2 linked regions of the Alligator mississippiensis genome follow. The protein of the gene in region 1 purifies or fractionates together with the protein of each later gene. This does not show direct contact. Links are inferred from orthologs where the notes say so. Each region holds a gene or a part of one and is shown in the gene's direction. Other genes may lie near its edges.

Region 1 (7,346 bases):
TAAGAGCTGGCATTTTCTAAGGGATGTCTTAAGTCTAATAAGGGGTGCCGTGTATCCAAAAGGGTTGAGAACCATTGGTCTAGCAGGGTCACATGCTAATTCAGTTATCTGCAAATTTTAGGCAAAAACCTATAGAGAATTCATTAGGCTTACTCTTGATTAAGAATTTTGTTTGGCATAAAAAAGATAAATGTTTCATGACATGGTGATAGTAAGGTTCAGAAGGAGGAAACCATTTTACATTGTTTATCTAGTTTATGTATTAAAACTTTTGGTCAGGAAATGAACCTGACACTGCATAGAAAATATAGCATAGAAAATACGACAATGCTGTGCATCTTTCCAATTGCTTGCAGAGGTGAAATCTTATTTTCTTTTCTGTGGGAGAGCTTCCTGTTGCTCTAAAATATTTTCAGCATCCTGAAGGAGATATTGCCTTAAAAAATTAAAATTGTAGGTCTAACAGAGTATGTTTTCAGTAGTGAACAAGTTAAGCTTCAGGTGGCCTGAAGACTTCCCTAGGGAATATGGCTGTGTACTGTGCTGTGTTTTTTTTTACTAATGCCATAATCCTGCATTAACTTGGAACAATTTAAATTAAAACTACCAGTGAAAGTAACTCCTTGTGGTCACATCTGACTCAGGATAGATTGGGTAAGCATGACATTGATTGTGAGATCTTAAGGTGTCTGTCACTGTTTCCTTCTTGTCTTGGAAATAGACTTAGATGGCAGAGAAGTCACAACTAATTTGCCAAAAAGACTAATTTTGTTCTGGTCTTTAAAAGTGCCCCAGGGTTGTTTACTCCTTTCTGTGCAGAATTTGGGATGTTGATGACACAAATGATTACTTTTTATTGTAAGAGCCCAAATGTCAAGCGGCTAACTTTTGCCATGGTCTCACAGCCACAGGATTTGGTACAGCAGTAGCTAAGGGCTGCACAGGAAAGCACTGCAAGAAAAGAAGTGTGCCTTACCTATAATTCTCTCCCTATTCCCTTCTTGCTCCAGGGGGTAGCAATTCACAGCAGTTCTGTACTAGTTGTAAACTACTCCTCCCTGTGCCAGCTCAGCATTGCTGATAGCGTGCTGAAAGAAGCAGTCAGGGCTCCACCCATCAGTAAATGGATGTGCAGCTGCCCTTATCCATGCATGCCCAAACCTGAGATTTGGATAGCCTATTGGGACTTCAGGACCAACGGAGCTTTCTTTGCAGGCCACTTCCTCCAAATTAGTCTTGCCTCAAGCAAGGCAGACCAGTGAGAAAATGTGAAGCTACAGATGTAATAACTGACTGTATGTTAAGTAGTAGGTGTTAATCAGAGATTAGTGAGGAAGCAAGAGAAGACGACAGAAAGGTTCAATGTCAAGAACTAAGCCTTTCCTTAATTTAGCTGATTTGTTTCTATTACTTAACAACCCTGCTGTTCAAAATTGAATGTGACTGTTCTGACTTTGTTGAGTAGAATTATAGAAAATGAGGGTTGGAAAGGACCTCAGGAGGTCATCTAGTCCAAATCCTGCTCAGAGCAGGACCCATCCCCAGCTACATTATCTCAGTCAAAGCTTTGTCTAGCCAAGTCTTAAAAACCTCCAAGGAAGGAGATTCCACAACCACTCTGGGTAACCTGTTCCAGTGTTTTATTACCCTCCTCGTGAAAAAATTTTTCCTTATAACTAACCTAAACATCCCTTGCTGAAACTTGAGACCATTGCTCCTTCTTCTGTCATCTGCCACCACTGAGAACAGTCGGGCTTCATCCTCTGTGTAACCACCCTTCAGGTAGTTGAAGGCTGCTATTAAAGTAGCTATTGTTACTTATTTGTATTGCAGGACCCTTCAAAGTATTGTAGGTTCTACACAGAATTAGGAGAACTCAGAGAGACTCTCAGTCTCAGCTACAGCCAAGAAGGCATGTGAAAACATGACTTTAAATAACTTTACCTCTTTTCTGCTCTTGGTCTAGCACTGATACTAAGTTAGAAAGGCCATAGGCTACTTCAACTAATGCTATGCACCAAGAGTGCCCAAGGGACTCATACAACATTAGGGAAATCATAAGTTAAAGTAAAAGCTGTAAGTGCTATTACTGATAAATCATCCCAAGGTCTAAAGACATATAGAAAATCATAGTTTATGTTTTAATTGAACAGCTTATTGGTTAAATAATGATACATACATACACACACAGAAGTCCATGTGAGTTGCTATCTTCCTAAAAGCAAAGAGGACCTGTGGTCAAATAAATGTGAAGGTTTTTAACTCCTTTGAAAGTTTATACCAAATATTCAAGGCAGAGCTCTGAACTGCTGGGAGCTGCCTTGGAGTTGTCTGGAAGCTTGCTTAATACTTCTTTTGATCTGTAGCTCCTTCCCATTTAATTACCTTCCCATTTAAATAAATGTCAGGCATTGATTAAGGACTATATAAGGGTATATACATAACATATATCCCTGAGACACTGATTAAGGAAGCCCTGCTGCGTGCTTGTGATTCTGCACCTTTAAATTCAGTTTAAGAACATCAGCCCAGGCCAGTGGTTAATAATTTGACCAGGTACCTCACTGGCATGTACCTGAGTGGTATTCAATGTTTTTCAGTAAAAAATTAATTGCTCTTTCACCTAGGCGCAGAGCAGGCACATGGTAGACAGACTAAGGAAGAGGCATAGGCAACTGGTAGAGAGTGCATGGGGGTGCATGTGCCCCCCCTGACGGGGCTGGTGGCCCCCCAACAGCTGACACTGATGCTGTTGGTAGAGCTGGTGTCCCCCCTGACAGGGTCGGTGGCTTTTGCGGGTGGCCCCCCAGATTCAGAATGCACCCATCACCCATGACTAGAGGAGAAATCACAGTATCTGATGGTGGATATGCAAAGAGTATAGAGTAAGAAGTGAAACTTTCTTTAAAACATTGTAACAGTGCAAATAGATGTGCAAAAATGGTGTTTTTTGTGTTTGTACCTCTGTATATTAATACCAGCCAAGGTTTTTATAGATAGTTTTACCACCACACAAATTATTACAGACAAGTCACAACCCCTGAAAATACAGGTCTTTTAAAATATTGATTTGGGTTTTACAACTAGAGTGTTAAGAGTGCAGCTCTACACTGAGTGTATTACTAGGATACACTCAAAGAATAGTGTTGTCTTTTGAAATGCTAAAATGTTCAGCTAATATATTTTTCCATCTTGGAGCTAATTAAGCAATAACTGTAAAGGGAGTATGTGAGGCAATAATAATTTCTCATTGCGCTGATTGAATCTAAAGCTATGAGCAGCTGCGCTACTTAAGTTATGTAAGATTCCCCTCTTTGGCATATAGTACTCTGTACAGTGAGATTATAAAGACTTGAGGGACTATTTTTGTTGTTTTATGAACTGTTTTTGTTTGCGTATTTGTTTTTAACTTTTGGTGTGGTGGTTTGAAAGAAAATAATTCATGTGAGTTAGAAGGACACGAAAGTAAAGAATTTGGAATTTATCAGTTAATCCGCTCAGAAAAACATCATGGTCGCATGCAAATTTCTGTTATCTGAGTCACTGCATTCCCTTTAATGTTCCATCAGATCTGAAAAGAGTTTGTTGTAAATGTTAACAAGAGTTCCTGCAGGGGGATTCTCATCAGTAACTTCCTCGTAAGCATCACAGAAACACTAACGAGAGAATGACTGTATGGAAATAACCTACATTTTTCACTAGTCTGATTTGGATGTGTTGCTAGGCAACATAAGGTAGCAAAAGGGTTATATGTAGTCTCTGTAAATGTGTGTCTGATCTATGTCAATTTTCAGGTAAAGAAAATAGATTTTTAGACAAACTAACTAGACCTAACAAAACACAACAGTTGAAAACCCTGAAGTATACGGTAGTGAAAAGATAGTATTGAAAAAAAGAATTGGAGAAGACCCAAAGATGACGTATCCTGTTTGATTTTTTTGTTTCTGGCTGAAGGGCTTTGTATTTTGAAACAGGCTTTTGTGTCTCACTACTAGTTCTTTTAAATACTTGGGAGTGTGTTTGAATGTGTCGACATTAGTGTACTACTGCCTGATAGGTTAAGGTTCCTTTTAAGTGAGAGCTTTGTTCTTCCTAAATAGCTCAGGTCAGTTGTGCAACATACCCCTACCGTTTAAAAAAAAAAAAGAAAGAAAGAAAGAAAAAAGTGCTGAATAATCCCAGATGGCTGATGCAAACCTGCAGAATTTGCATCATCATTCAGCACGAGTAACTTGGTATGACAGGAGCTTAAATACAAGTCCACGCGGAAGCAGAACTGGTTTCCAATGACAAGGCAGCACCAGCCTGTGCTGGGAGAGTTCAGATGTTAGGGAATAGCATTTAGATTTCAATGAAGAGTAAAAATACACCTTGAATGGTTTACCTGTGTGTAGGAACAGCTTGGAAGGCATTGGAAAGGCACGGAGAGCAATTAACTACTCACAAATAGAGGAAGAAACCTTGAGCGTCTGCCACAAAGTTTTTTTTTAAAGTTTTGTTTGTTTTGAGTGTGCTGATTGCTAGCATGTTTAGGAAACCTGCTGTACCTACAATCACTAATGGAAGCTATGTGCAGGGGCAATCTAATGGCAGGTTGCCTTCTATGGACAGCAAAGAGCCAGTGAGGGAAGAAAAAGTAGTGCTGAAGAAAAAAGTAACTTTGTTGAGAGGCATATCCATTATAATTGGTACTATCATTGGAGCAGGAATCTTCATCTCTCCTAAAGGAATTCTGGAGAACACCGGCAGCGTGGGAATGTCCTTGGTTGTCTGGACAGTGTGTGGTATCCTCTCACTGTTTGGTAAGTTAGTCAAAGTTTATAATTGCTCCTTTGGGACAGCTGGTGAATTCTTCTCTTCTTATTTTTGCTAGTGGATATCAAAGATCAATCTGATGCTTGAGGACCAGTAAGGCTATGGATACTTATTTGCTATTTGATGGGCTCTCTCAATGGTACAGTTGTGTGCAATCAGTATTGCCTCTATCATGAGCATTATGGCATAAAACTCTACTGAAGGGCTGTATGAAGACCCTAGACCAAACAGTGTTTTTAATGCATCCCTAATATATCAGGAGAGGGAAGTATCCATTACTGTATTGTGAAGTGTGGTATATGTTTGATGTTCTTGTTTTAAATGTATGGATTAGTTTACAGCATGCTTGCAAGCTAGAGAGATGGGCTGGTCATTTTGAACACCTGTGAGATGTTTAAACAGCTTTTCTCAGTTCCCTGCTCATCTGATCCAGTTCTAAGATGAATAACTTCTGGACAAAAACAGTTACTGGCAAGAAATTGAATTAAATTAAAACTTTCTGCAACTGTTTGTCACTTCATTTATCAGTTCACGATATTTTATGAAAAACTGCACCCCCAAAATTGAGGAATTTCGAAACAAGCACATATTGTGAACTTTGTCTTCTGGAATGTATCTGGCTACAATATTTGCACATTTTCATTAGTAAAAGTATTAGAACTCCTTATGAATGCCAGTTTATTTGTCTTGTTGTATAAAGAGCTGCATTCACAATGGATATCAGCACCCTTGATTATGTGGAACAGAAGGTCTATTGACCAACTTAATGAGTTAATCGCAAAAAAGCTGAGCAACTGACACAAATATTGGCTTTATTTAAAATCCAGACTACTTGTCTTCTGGCATGTGGTAAAGAGGGAAAACACTAAGTAGCACGTGCCTGCTTAATAGATGGGACATGTGAATTTTGCCCTGGGTAAATTGGCCAGGATCATTGATTGTTTTGAAGAAATACAAAGAATGAAAAAGAATGTTGAAAAATGTTACTGCCCCTTCTCATCAGAGGTTGAATTTATTTAATTACAGGCACAATATAAGACACAACAGTAATTTGCCATCGAACTCTGAAGGTACTGCCTAAGACCCAAACCTTTTTCTTGAAGTAAACACAATTTGGCATCCAGTTATATGCTGGCCTTTAGATAAAACTAGAGACACACCTTGCCTGAACACAGGATATTTGAAATTAACCTTCATAGTTATGTGGTATACGAAGAGTGATTAAATATAGTACATTCTGATTTTTCCCCTCTGCCTTTACATGTTGTGATAAGATGTCATACATTTTTTCACGTCATACACACGTTGTAAAATGTCATACATTCATGTTGTGATAAAATGTCATACATACTATTTTTCATTACCAGTGGTCTTGGTGATGCTCTCTATGAAATACTGATTACAGCATTACAACAGCTTCTTTCAAACTGATTCTGTCTTACAACCTTCCAGATAAATTGGCAAGAAAAAACACATCAACAGGTTTTTCTAAATGTGACTCTCCAATCACTTTAGGTAGAATATCAGTTACGTTCATTAATACCACACAAAGACTTCAGCAGGGCCCCAAATCGAAGCAAGTGCGATATGCATGGAGTTCTTAATAAAAACATGTTTTAATGGCTGTAGAATACATCCCTATCAATGAAAAAAAATGTATATTATGTAGTGCTTTCTCTATTGTTAGACTATATCACATGCATGTATGTATGTGACCAAAAACACTGGGCATACGAGTGGTTTTGAGTGTTGTGCTGCTTTGAAAAATGTGGTTTATACCTTAAAATGCTATAGCATTATTTACTGAGGGACTGCATCCTTGACCACTGCATATATATCACCAATCATAACACTGCAAGCCATGATTTATTAAAACCATATAGTTCTATTGATTCTGTATTCCTGCATGTTACTAAACCATTTATAACGGTATTTATGAGATACACCTCTCCTTAACTGATGTTGTCCACACATGGAGATGAGAACATTTTATCCTCCTGGCTAAAAGACTTTGCTCTTCTGCAAAGTGGCCATGTCTACATGAGATTAATGTGTGTGAATGATTACTGTGCGTTAATTTAATACTTGCATAAAAAGATAATAAATGTGGAGTAACCCAAGTTACTGTACAGTGGTGCTAGTGAATGCCTTCTTTGTGATGCTACTGTGCCTAATACTACTGCGCAATAGTGTTGCATCACACTTTTTGCCATGCAACACTACAGTGCACTAATATTGGGCTACTGCGCAGTCAGGGTCTCATGTAGACATGGCCACTGATTGACAAATTTGGACAGGAAGACTTATGACTTTTAGATCAGATTGGAAAAGACTGCCTTTCTCTGTAGCATGTGGTCTGGTCTCCTTCTTGTATTCATCCAAATGCATGTTAAGCAATTACTTCTGTGTCATAGCATTAGCAGTAGTCTAGGTTCCTCTATTTTTACTCATGGGATGTTACAGGGTGTTTTTTGGGTTTCTGGTTTTGTACTTTGAAATTGTTTGTGAGGGTTTGAAATGGTCATATTGGG
Region 2 (8,189 bases), about 110 Mb from region 1:
ATTCTGGTGTGCAGCCCATGGGGAAGAGAGAGCTGGGCTCTGCACTCTGCTCTGCTGTAGCGGCCACCACCTCCTGAAGGCAGCGGCCGGGGCTTGGGCACTGCTGTGGGGGGCAGGTGGCTGTGGACCCAGGACCCTGGCCCCATAACTCTGGCAGCTGGGGGCCCCCTCTGGCAGGGCTGTAGGGGCTGGGGGGCTATGGGTGGGGGGTGAAGGGCACCATCAGGGGCAGGGGTCTATAGCTGGGAAGTGAGGGGCACTGGTAGAGCTGGGGAGCTGTGGGTGGGGAGTGACGAGCACTAGCAGGGGTGGGGGGTCTGTGGATGGGGAGAGAGGGGCAATGATATGGACAGGGCACCGGCATATCAAGGCTACTCAGCACCACAAAGCAGTGGCCAGCTGCAGCTGGACCCACATCCTGGCAAGGAAAGGGGGCAGGAGGAACTCATATTTTCCATGATAAAAATCCCCAAAATCAAGGGGCAATATGTATAGGTATTTAGAATTTATTTTATTATAGTGATTGGGGCACTGGTAGGCTTCCAAATTACTTTAAAATTGTAAATATATCAATAAAACATTGTGTTCAACTGATACCTATATATATATATATATATATATATATATATATATATATATATATATATATATATAAGGCATTTCATTTTAATCATGGGAAATTGCAGATTTTGGGGGTTTTTAATGAGAGAATTTGCGATTTTTTTAGGTTTTTTTAATCAGAGAATTTGTGATTTTTAAACAGAGAAAACCAGGATCCCTGATTATGATCATCCAAGATGCAGGACAAACAATATTCAGGTCTGGGTGATTAATGGAGTTTTGATTTAATGATATCAAGAATAGGACTGGGAGTTAGGCCATTAAAAAGTCAAGGATACCCATTTCTAATAGAATAAGGCAGTGGGACAGATGGATCTTTCAGCTGCTAGGAAATCAATGTATTGCCTATGAAGTCAGTGGAACTCTCCACTTTACATTACCTATGAACTGGGTCTTTTGTTTCTAACATGGGGAAACTGAGATTTAGGACATTAAAAATGATAATTCAACTGTCTAGGAAAATATGTCATGTCATTTTCAGAGGGTTCTAAAATATAATTAGGTAATTTTCCCTTCCCCTGAGTCTAATCTAGTTAGATGGGTAGTGCCATTTTGTAAAAGGTAGGTGATACCTGAAGATGAAAATATAACTAATTTACTCCAAGTGATATGTGTACCTACTTTTGAAAATCCCACTATGTTCCTATCTGAATTCTTAATTACCTTTGAATATTTGACCTGTCATTTAAACTTAGAGGTAGAAGAATATGAAAATTATTGTAAGACCTATAAGAAATCCTTTTTTTTCTATTGAAACAATTAGCTTAAATGTGTGACCAAATTAACAGGATAAAATAGATTTATTGTATAAGATACATAAGAAAAAAGAAAAAAACTTTGGTGTTTGAAGGAAGACATCCACTTTTACATTACCCCATCAGATACTCTAGATTTGTTAAGCTAGAAGGAAGAAACTAAAAATTGCTAAACATATGGAAAGTTGGGAGGGAGCCCAATGAAGGGTTAGCCAGTTATGTTTAAGTCAAAAGTCAAAGAAAAGTCAAAGTCCTGAAATGCTCTTTGTGTAAAATTCTTATGCTTGTGGCTGGGAGAGGCCATGTTCTGTATTTTTCAATTGTTTGTATTACAAGTTAATTAAAAAGCTGTTTAAAGTGTGGAATTGCTGGTTCATTGGATTGGTAATATGATATAGAATCTTTCATCTCTAAGGGGCTGACTGAATTCCAGCCCAGATCATTAATGAACAAAAGTCATTGCCATCTCCTGATTGTTAAGGTGATAGATATATTCTTGGTAGTCTCATTGTAGTTCCAAGAAGACAGAAGTTTTCTTTGCGGTAGCCAGTAGTATAAATCACATCTCAGAATAGAGAATAAGGTATGGATAGACTATAGTAAATTGTTAGAGGGGTGGTGGTATATGCTCCTAATACCCATGTTGTACTTCTCCCTTGTATAATGATCTCCAGGCCTTTCCCTGCATTAAATTCTAAATGAATATGTGATCTTCAAAAGCTGCTGTACTTTCACTGACTCTTCTATTGTCTTTAGGGAATGAGAAATAAATAATCCCTTCCTTTCTACCCATACAAGTAATGAATCACCCCAACACAATTCCTAGATGTCAGCGGCACAAAAAAGCTCTCTGTTGTAGTTGGCAGTAAACATCAACTTTGTTAGAGCAGCTTCAGCCCAGAGGCTAAGTCGATAATGGGCCCTGGAGAGACTGACTGTTCCCCTTGTACCTGGAGATCAGAATGGAGACACATAGGCTAGGGACAGACATTGCACATAAACTGGTTTAAGTGATCAGAAATTGGTTTAAACCTGCAACAGAACATACATTCAGTGCACATAAACCAGTTTCAAAATGGCTGAAACCAGTTTCAGATTAACCTGGTTGAAAGTAGTATCAGACTTAACTGATTTGGCTCAAACTGGTTTATGCAATGTCTGTCCCAGAGCTCTTCCTGGTTTAACTTAAACCAGAGTCCCCCAGCATCCTGGCATGCTCTCTGGGCTGGGCTCTGTTTAAGCTCAGCAGTGTTATCCCTGCCCCTCTGCTCCCCAGCTGGAGCTGGGACAGGCAAGGATGGGCAGGGTTGGAGGTCTGGTCAGAGAGGGGTATCATTCCCCCTCCCTGTCCCACTGGCAGGGTCCCAGGGCAGAGAAACTTCTGCCCCATGTGTGGAGCTCCAGCTGCAGCTCCCAGATGCCTTGGAAGGTGGAAGGTGCCGGGGCGGGAGGCTTCAGTCCAGAGGCTGCCGCTGGAGCTCCACACATAGGGCACAAGCTGCGGGGCTGAAGTTCCTCTCCCCCAGCTGCCTCCCAGAGCAGCTCAGAAGCAGCAGGAATGGGAGGGGAAGTCACCATGGCAGGTGAGGGGAATGCGGCTTGGCCCGGCAGGGCTTTCTCCCCTTGCTTCCAGCTGTGGCTCCTGCCACACTGCACAGTGCCACTTGGGGCTTCCTTTAGCTTGGTGGCTTCAGCCCAGTTCAGGTTGAAGCCACCAGGCTGAAGGAAGCTACCGCAGCCCCAAGCAGTGCTGTGTGGTGCAGCAGGAGCCGCTGTTGGAGGCAAGGGGAGAAAGTCCTGCTGAGCCAAGCTGACTTTCCCTCGCCTGCCACGGTGACTCCCCCTCCCATTCCTGCTGCTCTGGGAGGCAGTGCGGGGGGAGGAAGAAGCTTCAGCACCATGGCTTGTGCTACACACATGGAGCTCTGGCAACAGCCCCCTGGACTGAAGCCTCTCACCCTAGCACCTTCCAAGGCGTCCGGGAGCTGGAGCTGGAGCTCCGTGCATGGGGCAGAAGCTTCCCACCCTCCCCCAGCCAGCACAGCATGGTGTGGCCATGGCAGTGGCAGCTGGAGCCAAGGGCGGCAGAACAGCCCCACTGCCCCAGCCAGCCCTCAGTTGCTTGTTAGGCTGCAGCCCCAGGTGCTGCACAGGGCTGAGGGGTGGCAGTGGTGGCTGCTGGGCTCGGGCCATGCCACCACCTCTGAGCTGGCTTGGGAAGCCTGCTCCCGAGCCAGCCCCCACCTGACACTGGCTGACAGGGCCCCTTGGGTGCTGGGGGTGGGGGGGCAGGGACCAGGGTTATTCTCTCTGGCATCTGGCAGAAGGGACAGGAGGGGGCATATTCTGCTGCTTGGTAGCGGTTGGGGCAGGCAGACCTGGCTGTGGTCCCCTGGGGGCAGTGGGGGTAGAGGGAAATAACCTCTCCCCTCCTCAGGGGCCATGCTGGCTCGTGGCTGCAGCAGTGAAAGGGAGGGGGCGGCAGACCTGGTTCAGGTCCCTGCTAGTGGGACAGGGAAGGGGGATTTAAACCCCTCTCTGGCCAGTTCTGCCAGGACTGGCCATGCCCCCCCAGCACAGCTTCCCTGCAGTCAAGGGTGGGCTCTAGCACCCCCAGCTCCTGGCCTGAGCAACTGCAGGCATGTTCCCGCATGTCTGTGCAGTTACAAGCCCGTTCAGCCTAGCCAGGTTCGACTAACCCACAAAGGTTGAATCAGTTCAGGCTCCGGCTTTTTGAACTCCCTAGCCACATAAAGGGATCGGTGGGCATGTCTACCCAAGACATTTACTGCGGAGTTGCCTAATTAACTGCTCAGTAAATGCCTCAGCCTCTACACATGCAGTGCTATTAGGATGGAGCAAACTAATTAACTCCACCTCAGGTTAGTACTTGCAAACACAAGTACTAACCTACAGCAGAGTTTTTACTCCGCAGCAACACAAGTGTAGATGCTGTTGCGGTTGGCTGGGGCATGAGGGTGCTTCAGTGCAGGGGCTGCCTGCCAACTAGCTCTTCACTGGAGCACCCTCATGCCCCAGACAGCCCCTCTGCAGTGTGCTGAGCTGGGTCAGAGCAGCCCTGGACTGGCAGGCTGACCCCCCTGCCAGCCGGAGCTGCTTTGACCCAGCTCAACGTGCTGCAGTCTTGGGTGCATGTGAAGATGTGGCACCCTGGAGCAATAAATTCTGGCACCCTATGTACTGGAGTTTATTGCTACACATTACTAGTATATGTAGATGTACCTAGTGTGAAGAAAACCCATGACCTGTGCCCCACATGGATATGAGAGATTAGTGTTTATTCATCAGTGATGAAATGAGAGCTGGGGGAAAGAAAAAAGTGTTATTTAGAAATATTCAGAGAGTTGTAGACATTTTGACGGGTTTCGGTAACATAGATATGTTTTTATTTTCTTATTTTTTAATATAGGCTGTGGAAGTGGAAGCTAATAACACAGTTCCTTTCTGAGATGATTCAAGAAAGATTGCAAAAAATGTCTACCAGAGAAGCACTAAGCTGTCTTTTACTTGTAGTGCTCTGAGTAAAAGTGATTTAGTGCCTCTAGAAGTCAGCTATTGCTGCTTACTCAGAAGTAGTAGCTTCCCCTTTGCTCAGTCACTTTTTCTTTTTTGTGCAGCATGGGTGTGACTTTCAGCTCCCCCTCCCTGTTATGTCACTACTTCAATTCTTTGGAATAAAAACTGCAGCAAACTTCAGAGTCATTGACTGCAGGCTCAACAAGAGTTAGGGCTTTTTGTCTTTGTGCAGCTTGCAAGGATCTGTCGAGTTTTTTGCAAAAGTAACTCTGAGGAAACAATGGTCAAGTTCTTGTTGTGGGCAACTTTTGGATTATGTTTTCTGAAGCTTTGTGAAGCACAGACACGTAAGTACTGTATGAATGAAAATGCTAATGTTTGCTATTAAGTTTTCTGCTTCGGACAGCGGCAACCATCCAGCCAGCTGGTTAGCAGCCTCTTTGCCACATAAGCATGTCTCTTTGAATCAAGTTTTATTGTTTTTAAGTTATTCTCTGGTGAAACTGAGACAGAAATGCAACCTGTGCTGTTTTTCTTTTTACTTAAAAGCTAACCAGTATTTGGTAACGTACAGCCGCTAAAAGTACTTTGAGAACTAAACTGTTACTCAAAGTTTAAACTAACAAGTATGATAAGGAATTGATCTTTAGCAGAGCTGTTCAAATTCAACAATAGAAACTACCATTATGTATGTACATTGCTCTACCATTCTTGTAAAACCGACAGTTTGTAGGAGGTGGTGGGGAACCCCTCTTGGCATACAATAGCTGTATTCTTAGGATCATACAAGCTGAACTAAGGCTATTACATACTGGATTTTAATGCAAAAGCTAGGGTAGGCAGGAAATTCAACTTCTATGATGAAATGTGGAGAGGTTTTTATAGTAAAGCTCCATGTTTCTAAACTATATTTAAAGGATTTGTGGGGGTTGCTTTCAGGTTTTTGGTGGGCTTTTTTTCCTTTTTCTTTTTTCTCTTCTTTTTATTTTGGGCTTAATTGGTAAGATTTTCAAGCAAACAACGAAGTTTGATGGAACTGGGCAATTCAGTTGTTTCGGTGTCAGCTTTCTATAGTTCTGATGTCTGCCTGAAAATATGGGAATAAATCCCCTGTTTTCACAAATGAAAGCACAACACATATGATAAAATAAAAATCACATGCCCATAATGACAAAATGCTCTTAATTTTTTATGTGGTGCAGGCACAACAGTGTTTGGGGGAAATTGCTATGCCTTTAATAGAGTCCCATAGTAATAGAAACTGCCTTGAGGTGCTTTGGCAGAGAATCAATTATTCTTCTACCTTTTTCCATTAACCAGTTCCTAGGAATCTATCAAATCACATATTTTTATAGACGTTATCGACGCAGTTTTTTTCTTTTTTTATATTGAAACTCTTGCTTATTTCAATAAGTAAGTGTTAGAATGGCTCCTATGGCGCAAGATCTATGAATGGGTGTGTCAGATCGAACAGTTCCAGACTCATCCCTGATTTCGGGATAAGTCACGTTGTATTACAGTCTGAAATATTCTTCCCATGATACTAAATGTAAGCTTCATGCTGCAGTTAGATACCTGGACAATGCATGTATATTCAGGGAGGAGCTACACACTTGTAAGGTATATCTGAGGTGTGGCTAGAACCTTGCTTAATGTTTATATAGCATACACATGTTCAGTCAGAGTTTGTTATCACTTGCTCAATTCATTTTTCCTTTTACGAACTGCCATAAACAGGAGTGCCATAAATAGTCACTGTTTGAAGTTACTCTAAGGCTAATATTTTTACAGTAAGAGATGTAAGGAAAAAAAATCTAGTCCTTGGTATAGTTAACACAAAAACATATCAAGCTTAACATATGCCCCACAGAGAATTTTCTTTTTAGGGCTAGCAAGGTATTAAATTATAGCTGTGGTATATTTTAGCTTATATGCAGTGCATTCCAGACTGACTCTGTAGCCACTACAGACTTCACAACTACAGTTGATATTTTAAGTGTCCTTTTTCACAGTGCATCACAAGGTACTGGAAATACACTTGGAGCTTGATTTAAAGGGATGGGCCCGAAGCACAAAATTCAGTTCTTGTCCTGATTTTTTTTTTAATTCTTCAAATGTTTGGAATGATTCCTCCTGGGAATATTGGTTTAGACTCACCCGGGACATTCCAGTTTGTTCTGAAGGTCTCAGATGCAAGTTACAGAGGGTTTAGCCATTCAGTTGGGAAACTATTAATCAGGGGGCTGATTGACCTTGGAGCAGACTTAGAATCCAGTTAGAAGTATATATGCTGGAGAAGCCATGGAAATGCTCTAAATGACATGGCTGAAGGAAAGGTGAGAATCATGAGTGACACCTGCTGAGAAGCAGGGTCTGTGAACCTGCTGTCGCTAGACTGCTACTGAGATCTGAGCTGGGTATGACTTTAGCTGTGCCCCTAGCTAGCTGGCTTACACTTCATCCAGTTTCCAGAACTAGGAGGAAAGGATGTGGGCATCACAGTTTGGGATTCTGTGGCATGAACTGCCACTCCCATTGTGCCCATATAACGCTATTACCTTTACGTTTTTGGCTGTAGTTGAGTAACATAGAAGTGATGACAGAATTTAATGCAGTAAGTTAGGGGGATCTATGAAGGGATCAGTGAAGGAGATTTCAAGGGAACTGAAGGGATGAAAATGGAAGCCTGTGAATGCCGTTGAGAGAGAAGAGAGTGCCCATCCACATGGAAGTGCTGGCCGGAGTGGTAGCCCAGGCTGAAATGAAAAGATGGGGATGACATGCTACCTATGAACTGAAGAGAAAGGGATTGTGTTCTGTCTGTTGTATCTTTTATACAAACTTACAGAAAACAATGTGAACAAGCCTTTTGTGCTAGTTTATTTTCATAAGGATGTTACACTATGTATACTGGCTCTTCTCCCAAAGGTTTGAAGTAAAACCATTTTAATAAAGTTGGGCTGGCATTATTTAATGGGAAGGGTTCAAAACTGCTGTTGAGCTGTTCCTACCAGGCTGGCGAGCCTTGGCTTGTGATGACACAGTAGTCTGGAGGGAGGTTGTTGTTGATCTGGTGGTGATGACAGGTCTCACACCCAACTTTGGTAGTGTGGACACTGGGGTGGGTGGCTGAAAGCCTAGAGGTCATAGCAGAAATGCTCATGGTGCGGCTGTGTCAGATGCTAACAAATCTGTGAATTCTAATAAATACCTTGTCACGAGCATGAGAAAGGAAGTCGGTTAGCACAATGCTATGGCAGCATATGGTAGGAGTGG

The links.
Region 2: the proteins of SLC7A11 (region 1) and CD44 purify together in Homo sapiens (affinity purification with western blotting; 3 studies listed by BioGRID and IntAct, with this or other methods). This does not show direct contact. The link is inferred for Alligator mississippiensis from reciprocal best matches to the Homo sapiens genes SLC7A11 and CD44.

The regions. Positions count from the first base shown.
Region 1 is NC_081825.1:106,127,747-106,135,092, forward strand, and holds the start of SLC7A11 (cystine/glutamate transporter), read left to right. Parts: upstream 1-4,074; 5' UTR 4,075-4,525; coding exon 4,526-4,802; intron 4,803-7,346. UniProt on the Homo sapiens protein: Heterodimer with SLC3A2, that functions as an antiporter by mediating the exchange of extracellular anionic L-cystine and intracellular L-glutamate across the cellular plasma membrane.
Region 2 is NC_081825.1:218,155,707-218,163,895, forward strand, and holds the start of CD44 (CD44 antigen), read left to right. Parts: upstream 1-4,977; 5' UTR 4,978-5,193; coding exon 5,194-5,260; intron 5,261-8,189. UniProt on the Homo sapiens protein: Cell-surface receptor that plays a role in cell-cell interactions, cell adhesion and migration, helping them to sense and respond to changes in the tissue microenvironment.